Linked DNA regions of Caenorhabditis elegans. Changing the gene in region 2 together with the main gene of any one other region gives a genetic interaction. Each region holds a gene or a part of one and is shown on either strand. Other genes may lie near its edges.

Evidence for each region.
Region 1: of cri-3 (region 2) and daf-14, changing one enhances a phenotype caused by changing the other (phenotypic enhancement), as found in Caenorhabditis elegans (one study listed by BioGRID).

What each region holds. Positions count from the first base shown.
Region 1 is NC_003282.8:10,248,789-10,256,420, reverse strand, and holds daf-14 (Smad-related protein daf-14), read right to left. Parts: upstream 5,795-7,632; 5' UTR 5,776-5,794; coding exon 5,693-5,775; intron 2,805-5,692; coding exon 2,746-2,804; intron 2,333-2,745; coding exon 2,191-2,332; intron 2,144-2,190; coding exon 1,993-2,143; intron 1,927-1,992; coding exon 1,414-1,926; intron 874-1,413; coding exon 826-873; 3' UTR 569-825; downstream 1-568. Other genes in the region: F01G10.9 (aECM cysteine-cradle domain-containing protein), read left to right, coding at 1-123, 304-378; F01G10.10 (BPI2 domain-containing protein), read right to left, coding at 6,746-6,860, 6,907-7,058, 7,451-7,549, 7,602-7,632. UniProt on the Caenorhabditis elegans protein: Probably an atypical receptor-regulated SMAD (R-SMAD) that is an intracellular signal transducer and transcriptional modulator activated by TGF-beta-like daf-7 signaling.
Region 2 is NC_003281.10:3,394,780-3,398,373, reverse strand, and holds cri-3 (Conserved regulator of innate immunity protein 3), read right to left. Parts: upstream 1,790-3,594; 5' UTR 1,785-1,789; coding exon 1,513-1,784; intron 1,463-1,512; coding exon 1,278-1,462; intron 1,228-1,277; coding exon 1,124-1,227; intron 1,075-1,123; coding exon 925-1,074; 3' UTR 747-924; downstream 1-746. Other genes in the region: Protein clpf-1, read right to left, coding at 1-43, 461-620.

The DNA.
Region 1 (7,632 bases), on a different chromosome or scaffold from region 2:
TCGAATCCTCAAGAAATGCAGGAAGCTACCGCAGAGAGTTGTGCAAAAATAACAAAACTGGCCAAGAGTTTTAGTATCAAAGATGTCTCGAAATGGGCGAGAGGCAACTGTCCCTTCCTGCAGGTAAATTTTAAAATATAGAAATCAAGGCTGCCACTACAGGTAGGCATTTAGGAGTGACTACGTGCCTATCTGTTACGTATTTTTGGTGCTCTTTTGTGAATTCCTGTTGTTGGTGTTACAACAGAGACACATTTAATCAAATCACTTTTTCACAATCATGTTAATTTTCCTTATTTGCAGATGTATGCTCCAAACGCCAGCTGTGAACTCATATTCCATTTTATTGATTCTTGTAAAAGCAAGAAATTCTTCTAAACTATGACTTAATTTTTCTCAAAATGTTCTCTGTTTTCTTTGCTCTTTTAGTTTTGTGCTCATCCTACATTTAAAGACATTTCCAACCCATACGGGATCATCTCATTTTATTTATTTCCACAATTGACACTTTTGTCGTCAGATTTCTAATTTATTGTTTCAGGTTCCTCTCCTTTCCACCAAAAATGTATTATTAATATTATTTTAATAATTTATTCGCATTCATAATCATTTCATCAAATTATTTAATTACATTACAAAGTTCTCAAAACAGAAGATTCTAATAAATAATTGAATTAAAGATTTTAGAAAAGCATTCAAGAGACTGGGAATTTTTTAACCAAAAGAAATGAAAATTAAAAACTGGGACAGAAATGGAAATATTAATCAAACGGGTACGCATTCGAATGCTTAGAACCAATCATTGAAGTGAAAATATTGAAGCAATCATGATCGGGATCCTATTTCCGGCCGTTCGTTATTAATACGGAAAACCTGAAGATTATTAATGGAACTTTAATTACTTGAAACAATTTTGTGTGTTATTTCAAGTGTTTAAATTTAAATTCAAATTCAAATTCAAAATGGTCTCAACTATGCCATACACTTAACAGTTAATTCCATTACTAGATCATATGTTGAATTTTTTGTGTTTTTGTTTTAATGATTGAAATAGTCATATTTTGTTTAATTATTTTATAAATAGAACCGGATAAGACAAATGTGAATATAATTATTAATTATTTGTCTTTCATGAAGTTTTTTAATTTATCTATTTATTTCGGAAACAAATATAGCCTTGATTCACCGAAAGAATCCAGGTGGCTAAAAAATCGATTCTTTAATCTTCAATGGAGATACTTTAAGCCTATACAAAAATTGCTAGCCAGTAAAATTCAGTAGTCGGCTCAGTGGTGTACAACATTTTCAGAGATCTTGGGTATTTCAGCTGCAGTTGGACCGCACTATCGGAAATTGTGTTTTAATATTATATTTTTAATTTAGGAAAAATTACATTAAAGTTTAAAAACTCACTGTATCATACTCATCAGCTGGCTCATGCAAGATAATTTCAATCCAACACGGTAAATTCACAACTTTCAAACGGGAATACGTTTCTCCGAATCCTTTACAGAAAGAGACTCTGATGTTGGAGAAGATTCTCATTCGTTCATCAGCCACCTCTTTTTCAGTTAAAGGTCCGAGAGCCAATGTTTTCTCCTGTTCAAACTGCTCCTTATCGAATATTTTCATTCTTTTTTGATCTCCTTTGTTTTGCAACCGAAACACATATTTCAGTGGCTTATTCAATGTCTGGTTCAGGAATGGGCATTGTACAAAAACAATTTGGTCAGTCAGTACAGTTAGCCAAAGTTCTCCATTTTCATATGCCAATTGAATTCCTGCTCCAACTGTGTTTCGGATTTGTGAGCTTTTTGAATTTCTCGAAGATGGTTGAGATGTAAGCGACATTCGGCACTCATCACTTGCTCCAGTTGCACCATCGATTGTAATTGTTGGGACTTTGGCTTCGAATGCTTTTCCTAGCTGAAAATATATCATTGTTATGCTATCCGTTTTTTGAAATTCTTTCTCAAATAATTTTGAACTTACTCGAACAGTCAGCTCGTAGTAAAATATGGTACACCACGGTTTTTCTTCTTTTGGATATTTGGGTTCAGGATCCAACATCTCGTTTCCAGTAGGACGTACTTCAACTACTGCCTTTTCAGGAGTTTTTGGTTTCAAAGAAGATTGGCTTGAGCTAAAAAAAGAGGTATGTGAATGTGTATAACTTTCAAATAAACGTACATATTTGAAAATGGAAACGGATCATTATTTTCATCAGTTGATGTTGACGGAACATTATAGCAATCAGGCATTGGAGCATCTTCCAACCAGTCGTTTATTGGCATGTTTGGATTATTGATGCTTGCCGGTAAGTGAACTTGATCTGTAATTTTTGTATATCAGTTTGAACAATAAAATAAAAGCTCAATTCCAAATGTTAAATTAGTCAGAAACTTGTTTCCCAAGTGATTGTGATCACGGTGACTCATATGGATGATGAGGGACTTAAGCTGGATAATTTTCGTTTTAGAACTTTCTGATTCATATTAAATCATATGACAAACCGGAAATAAATCGTCTGAAAAACATCGAAATCATACGAAATATTTTTAAAGATATTTTTCATGTTTATAATTGTTTTCTAACAAAAAATTGAAGCATATTTATATTTTATGTGATTTGAGGCATTCTGAGATCAGGAACTGAAAACGTCTGTTTTATAAATATATTTTTTGCAGTTATAGCCACTTCTGTCTAGTTTTCCAATAACTTTGTCATGTCTACAATTTGACTCACCTGGGTACATATAATTCCCCGCAGCCGCCCAATTTGTGGGTGTTGTTGTAGTTTGAAAACTGAAAAGTCGAATATTTAAAACGAGTTAAGAAAAACACAAAACAACAAGGAAGTCGGTTGGCTTTGATATTAATACAAAATGAAATAATTATGAGATAATGAGATCCTATAAGGAAGGGATTATCTAAGGATTACGAATATGAGGGTTGTTGGTGAAATTAGCTGACGTGAAAATAGAGAAAAAGTCAATTGAGTGCATAATAATGCCAGAATACCTATAGATAAGAAATAATGACGTCGTATTAGAGGTTTTGAAATCGGTTCAGTTAAATTTTTTTGCTCTCTATCAGCATGCTATAGAAGGAAGATAGTTTTGGGATATTCATTTGATAAATAAATATAAAAATAAATGTACTGAAATCATTCGATTTTCTAAGTGAAAAACACAAAATCATTTAAAAAATATGTTCACTTTTTCTTCAGGTCTAGTTTCCTTATTGTCAGAGTCTAGCAACGTGTCGTCATAACAGGTGTATTAGAAGAAATTAAAAAGTCGACTAGACTTGTTATAGGGCAAGTCTCACGACCTTAGATTGTTATCTCTCATAAGAGTGTACGTGAAGTTGCCAGACAGGTGCTGTCTCGTTCTTGAAAAAAGTGTATTCAACTATATATCTAATGTTAGATAATGTATGATGCGGTAAATTAAATGTTGCTACTTAACTTTTTTTCATATTCGGGAACGAACTATGGTTCCTTTTTAAAAACTAGATCTGGCAGAATAGAACCAAATATAGAGTTTTTGAAGAAAATTGAAATAAATATATGTATATGAGTATTGGAAACAGATCAAGAACTTTCACCTTTGTTGACGTCAGTCATACTCTTTCTTTTTGGAATTGCGCTCGTTTCTGACATCAGTTTATAAAAGTCGACGGTTAAAAAAATAGTATTGGAACTAGAAGAGACGTGAGAAATATTTTGAGAACTAGATAGGAAAAACGAGAGAGGAGAGGAGCGAGAGTGAGCGTTAGGGTATGTATGTGTGTGTTTTCTGTCACAACAAATGTAAGTGAAAGGAGGAAAGAAATGGGAAAAAAGAGAGAAAAAGAGAGAGAAGAGAGAGAGAGAGAGAGAGAGAGAACGGAGAGAAATAGAGAACGAATATACTCAGAGCATCGGCAACACGTGAGCTTCTGCTCCTAACAGGAAGAAAAAAGTTGGAGTGAGCGCGTAATAGGGAACGATAGCACGTGATCGATAAATAGAAGGAAATGGAAAAAAAGACGAGGTTGAGAACGTCATCTGAATTGTATTTTCAATGACGACTACTTTGAATGAATAAGAGAAATGAACAAAAGAAGGTTAGGGAAAGATGACAAAAGGTTCGTTATTACCGTTCGGAAGAAGAATAGTTCGAGGAGGGGTAGTTACGAAATAAAATTCGAAATATTTTTAGTTACCCTCTGAAATTTTAATTTTTTCATCTTTCCAACAAATTAATGTTTTTCAACATTGGAAATTTCATTGAATAAAAATTAATAAATTTAAAAAAATCGATAAAAAAATCCATACCGAAAACCCCTAAAATAGTGTGACTCTAGAACACTGCAACGTGGCTCTGTCTACAAAGTGTGGTCCATCTGTTGCGCTGTGCTCAAATATTTGCCGATTGCAGGAAAAGAGACGAGAACAGTAACACGAAAAGGTCAGATAGATCAAGAAGATATTATTCGTTTATTGGGTTAAGAGATCAGATTCATAAAAGGCTCGTAGAGATAAACAAATTATCATAATTTTCGGCTTTAGATGTTTGTTTGATTGTGCCTGTTGGAGTCTAAACTTCGAATTATTTACAAAAAATTTTTTTTGAAAAATTTAAAAAGAGAACATTGTGGTTTTTTCCCTATTTTTCATCAAATTTTCCTGAATTTCTTGGAATATTTGGGGACTTCTTTCATAATTTTTTAAAAATTGCTAGGAATTGCAAATTGAGTAACAAACCACGATACTGAACTTTTGGGGAAACTTCAAAATGTAAATGAGGAAAAGACAGGGGCAAATACAATAATTGTGTTTTGATTCCGGTGAACTCAAGAAGAGCGGGTACGTTGCAAACTACGAGAAAGAGAGGTATTTATTGTTTCCGCCCCAGGACATCCGTTGTAAACTTTTTGGTTCAAAAGATCAAGACACAGAAATGCGTAGACAGGGCGGAGAGAGAAATATGCATCTTGTCTTATAAAAGTCGGAACGAGTCAGTCAGGTTAACAATATATTTCCATCTCACTGTCTACGGGGGAAGTGATAGTGTGCTGGACAAATATAAAACTTATTTGGTTTGAAACGTTTTGTTGAAGTTACTGATATAACTTAGTGGTGTTGCCTAATAATTGGAACATTCTAGGTTTTTTTTCAAGCCGAGAAAACAGTTCAATTACTTGTTTTTTGTAAAATTGAGTTTAAAGTTTCAATAGAGTAGAGCAGTCCAGAAAAGTCAGACAGATTTTTGAAATAAAAAGCTTGAATCATCAAAAATAGCTTCCAGTTTGTAAAACCCTGTCAACATTGGTATATATATTGGACTAAAAATAGTCAGTCACCTTTAATTTACTTTTGTTATAAGTTTACATAACTAAAATTGCATTGAAAAAAGTTTTGAGCGACTTTTATAATAGTTTGTTAACAGCCGGGAGTTAGGAAACTATTTGACACGGAAAAATTACAAATTATTTTTCATTAAAAAACAGAAGTAAACATAATTGAATGTGACTATTATCGGAAAAATCACGTGGTGTCAGGCTGTTCCATGTCCCATATGATCTACAATAAATGCGGGAATTGAGACGCAGAGACAACTGTTATTGCACGGTTAAGACATCTTGACACATCGTAAAAAGTACGATTATAAATGTTATCAGCATCACCCGTTTAAAAACTTACTTACCCAAACTCGGCAAAATCGTCCATGATTCCTAACTCTCCTTGGTTGTTAAAAAGTGATCCAAAATCTTCTTGTTCGTTGGACATTATAAATGTTTCTGCAAAAAAATGTGTGTTCGAAACAACAAATCTCCAAAATATAAACGGAAGGGTGCCGATTTATGGATTGTTTGAATAACAGGTAACAAATCAAACATCTACTACACAATTTTTGCACTTTGAATGAAAAAGTCAAAAACAATTGTGTGAAAAGCGAGACTTTAGATGATCAAGTCACATCCAAAAGTATATAGAAAGAGTAGAAAATGAGCAGAAAAACATAGAAACGCAATGACTCCATGGTGATGGTTTTATGTGAAGTGGCGTGACTAGGAAGGGTTCAATATGAGACAAATAAATACGAATTGACATTACTAAACGATGCACATCAGGTTGTTAAGCCAGTAATAGACCCAATTGTACCTTTAAAAACGACTAGAATTTTGATCATAACAAATTATTCGATAGTTGGACAACCCTCGATTGCAAATAATTTGGATCCAGTTTTGAAGATTCCCTGTAATTCAGCAAAATAATATTCTGTCAGATTGAGATTAATGGTGGAGCTTGGCCAGTAGAGAAATGATTAAAAACCACAGAAAAAGAAAAATGAGAAAAGTACATTGGTAATGTGAACGAAAGTTAAACGTTGAAAAGATAAGTTTATTTGACGATCAAGAAGATATTGAAATGAATGATCACGAATGAAATGATACCTGTTCGATTGAAAGTATTGTTTGAATTGTTGAATAGAATCTCTATGAAAGACTTGACACGTTCAATCGAAACTCTCATATTATACATTCGACAGAAAAAACAATTTTTGGTCCCTTGCAAATATTTAATTTTATTTGCAGTTTTGCAAATTACGGAGATGAAAACTGTCCTTATTTCTTCAAACAGTTTCGCAGATAATAACTTATTTATTATATATTCATCAGTATTCTTTTCTCGAAATGTACATATAAACCGGTAACTAAATATCGATATTTCTGTTTTTTGGTAACTTTGTCATTCATCACAATGGTCCACGTAACGTTTTTCCAACAGCTCCTCTGACAAGACTTCCTGCGTATTCCTCGTCAAGTTTGAAATATGTTGAAACTTTCAGATAACGATCGTGGAAAGTTAATCTGAAATTATAATAAATTCATATTATAGAGCTCGTTTCAAACTCACTTTGGACTCTTCAGAATTACACCTTGCATGGTTGGCAGAGCAATTCCCATTTGAAGAATTTCAGTGAGAAGCTTCTCTAAAAATTCAGCACCAAATAATCCCAAGTCGGAAAATGAATCTTGGTCGACATCGTTGATTTTTGTTTCAAGGAGCTGAAATATGACAATTTGATTAGCACCTCAAAACTGAAACATCCAGGCCGGCTTCCAAAAAAATAAATTGGTGACAATTTTCTTGGTGAAATATCATATAATCGCATTCAAGTCTTACCCAAGTTCAAATTTTTCCATCTTTAACCCAAAATGTTTTAAACTAGTGTGGAAGATTGGGATAGATTGGGCCTATTTACATTTTACGTAACCTCTTTATTTTACAATTTTGAGCTTTCTGGTGATTTTAAAGGCCTATTAATAATTTACGTTTCGATTAAATTACCATTTGTAAAAACACATAAAAACATATAATATTTGGCGTACGTCGTACGACTTGAAATTACATAGCTTCAGTAAGAATGATTCATAGATGATTGGATGAAACATCTCACCTTAAAATCCAAATTTTCAATCGTTGAGTTTCCAACAATAATTGATCCATTGATCCACAAGTTTACGTTTGCAGTCATTGTCGTGTCAGCTTTTAGGATCTTTACGAAAATAAAAGGAATTTCTGTTTCATAGAATCAAATAAATCAGTACCTGCTGTTTAACTTGATTTGGCTTCGAAGGT
Region 2 (3,594 bases):
TCAATTGTGGCGCCTTTCCACGTGAACGCCGCCACACGAGATTCTGAGGAAAAATTGGGTTTTAAATGGCAGAAAATGGGCCGAAATTGACTTTTATGGCCAAATCCATTGGTGTTTCTCAATTTTTTTCTGTGATATTTGATTTAAAACACTGTTTTCCAGACTTTTCCGCATAAAACAAATGATTACATCTGAAATTATCGATTTTTAGGCCAAGTTTCAAGATGAAGTTTCAGCGAATTTCTCTACTTTAACCGCAAAGAAACACGCTAAAACTTGGAAATTGACCTAAAAGTCGATAATTTCACAGAAATTTGTGCTTTTTCTGCGGAAACATTAGGAAAACAGTGTTTCAAGCGAAATATTACAGAAAAAAAACGGAGAAAGAGCAATAAATATAGCCAGAAAACGGGAGTTTTTGAAAAGTTGAAAAAAAATCCAGATTTCGAGGAAAACTTACTGGCTGGAAATGTATATTTCTTATTTAACAGCAGTTCTGTGCCAAAAATTTCAGCGTATCCCTTGACGAGCTCCAGACAGACATCCGAATCGTCTCCGGCGGCAAATCTCAGCTCACAGTCCTCTTTCAAAACGAACTCTTGAACATTCTCCTCGCTCATTTCTTTGGAATCTGAAAATGAGGCTTTATTGATTTTTTAATTTTCAGGAAAAAACGCGGAATTAGATAAAGCAAAGACATAGTTAATTTACAAAAAATTTGGGATGCGGAAAACTACAAAAGAAGAAAAAAACAATGGGTTTATTATTTTTGGAGGAGAGAAACCTCAAAACAGAACAAAAAACTAAGGAAAATAAACGAGCTGAAAGAAAATGTGCTACTTATTTAGATTACCTAAAAACGTCAACAGTAAAGTTATAAAAGACAGAAAAAACAAAACAATTGAAAAAATTTCAGAAAGCAATCTATTTGGAGATGAACTTCTTGATCTTGTCGAGAAGTCCAACGTATTGAGAGTGCTCGTAGTGAGTGGCATAGGCGACGAGAGTCTTGCAGAACCGAGCATCGAGACCGCGTTCTTCCAAATAACGAACGAACAGGAGATCGTGGAGGTCCTGGAATTAGAAAAAATCAATAATTTGCGGTCCTCTTGGGACTACTAACTGGATCGATATATTTTCCACTGCTAGCGTACACCTCGGATGGTACGTCCTCGTTTCCATTCTTGGCAGATGGGGCGACGTAGAACTCTTCGACGCGGAAATCATCTATAAATAGTATATATTTTATTCGAGTTTTCGATAAAATCGAGTATTACACTCATCAGGTTGATCGTCAACTGGCACAAGCTCGAGATGGAAGCAAAGTCTCTGATCTCCCTTGGTAATCTCGACGGTGAATGGTGGCATGGCTACTGGAACTGGAGCGACGGCCTGGGATGGCTCATCGTCGAATCCTTCGTCCATATCGACAGAGTGGTTCACATTGAAGACGACGAGAATGCTTTAAAAAAATTAACTTTAGAACTATGAAAAATTCTGAAAAAAACGAACTCTTCGCTTCCATTCTTCTTGGTCAGCCTAACTTCGGCGTCCTTATTGGTGACTTGGAAGCCAGCAAATGTCGGCGCAACGGCTCCTTGAAGATTGTCGCTGCTCAGCTGTTGCTCGGCTTCGATCTCACGGTTCAGGGCCTGTTGAAGTTCTGGCGTTACTGACAGAACCTTGGCCGATTGTGAGAAATGGCGTGGAGCGGCCATTCTGACGACCTGGGATGAACGGAGAGCCACTCGGGACAGGGAGCGAACAAGGGAAGCAGTGTTCATTTTACCTGAAAGAAGAAAAAAATAGAAAATTACATTTTCCAAAAATGATGCAAGTTTTTATCGAGCTAAAAATCAAGATTATCAGGTTATAAAGCGTTTCTAATTGATTTTAGGCTAATTTAGTTGTCAAAAATCAATAATTTCAATGAAAAACCTCGAAAAAATCAGTGGAAGCGTGCAGAACCGAAGAAAAAGCGAGAGAATATGCGAAAAGCCGACGAAAATAATTCAAATAGAGCCTTTCGTGGCAAGATATCTTCGCCGCAAAATGGCATGCGCCTTTAACTTGGCGCGCTTTGGAATTGTGTTCAAACGTTTTTCAGCCATATTTTCTCATTTTAAATCGATTTTTTCTTGTTTAAAATGATTTTAAAGTGCGTTTTCTTTGAAATTATTGACTATTGGGCTTAAAATTATATAATAAAACTGAAAATTGCCAGAAAAATCGATTTTTTGTTGTAAAAACATGGAATAGAGCTGCGCAGCTGGCGCGATGAGTCATGAGTCATTTGAAAAAGCAGCATTGCGAAATTTATGTTTAGAATTTTTTGAAGATTATTGATTAAACTAGGAGATTATCGATTTTAAGGAATATTTTTATACTTTTGAATTTTCGAATTTCGTGTTTCTGGCTAAAATCGTTGGTTTTTCTCGATTTTTCATTAATTTTCAGTTTTTCAGAAGTTTTTTCGTCTAGAAAACTTGTTTTCTGGCATTTTTCGGAATTTTTGAAGCTTCAGTGTATTTATTTCGAGGTCATAGCGTTTTTTAAACGGAAAAACTCTTTAAAATTCGAAAAATCATGTTTTAAATCAAATAATAATGAAAAATCTAGAAAAACCGATCTAGAAAACATTTATTTGCGCGGGAATTCAAAAATTATTCGGTTTTTTGTTGGAAAAATTAAAAAATCAAACAAAATTCAGGAAATCTTTATTAATTTTTCAGCAGTAATGTCCTGTATAGTGAGGATTTTTTCTGTCATTTAGGGCAAAAACTGGCGTACTTTCAAATTTAAAAAACCATTTTTTCGGTATTTCATAGTGTTTAGACCCCAAATTCCGTTCCCAAAACCTCCCAGAAATTAAATCGTATTCCGTATTCCGTCGGAATATCTTGTTTATCGGCAAGTCATCATATATACCTCCTCATTCCAATGTCCTTTCACACACATTCGAAAGGAACTGTCTCCGTATAAATACACAACGAATGGGAACTGTCTTCTCTCCGTCTCTTCACTCTCTTCACTGCTTCTCCCGTCGTTCCGAAGAATATCGATTGTTTTTCCGCTCTTTTCCGTTTATGTTATGTTTGCCAGTCATGTGAATCACTTCATAACGTTTTTTCTGCTTTCCGGAGAGAATTCTCCATTTTCTGCTACAGTTTTGAGGAAAAAAAAATTGCATTTCGTCGCATTTAATGTGAATTTTGGCCGGGGGAAAATATTAAACAATCTACATTTTTATACCGGGAATTGGGTGGGCGGCAAGTGCTGTTCGGCAAATCGCCAAATTGCCGGTTTGCCGATTTGCCGGAAATGTGTAGAGGCACTTTTTATAAGACGGAACCACTTAAAACTGCCTTTTTGGAATTTATATCCCGCTTTTTAAAGAAATTTTCATAGAAGTTGCTTATTTTTCAAAATAGACGTAGGAACATTCATAGGGTGCGTACAATTTTGCCGATTTAAATTGAAATTCTGAAATTTCCAAAAAAAGGTGCAAAACCACATTTTGCCGAAAATTTTCGGCACCTGTCGTTTTTCCGGCAGTTCGCCGATTTGCCAGAAATTTTAATACCGGCAATTTGC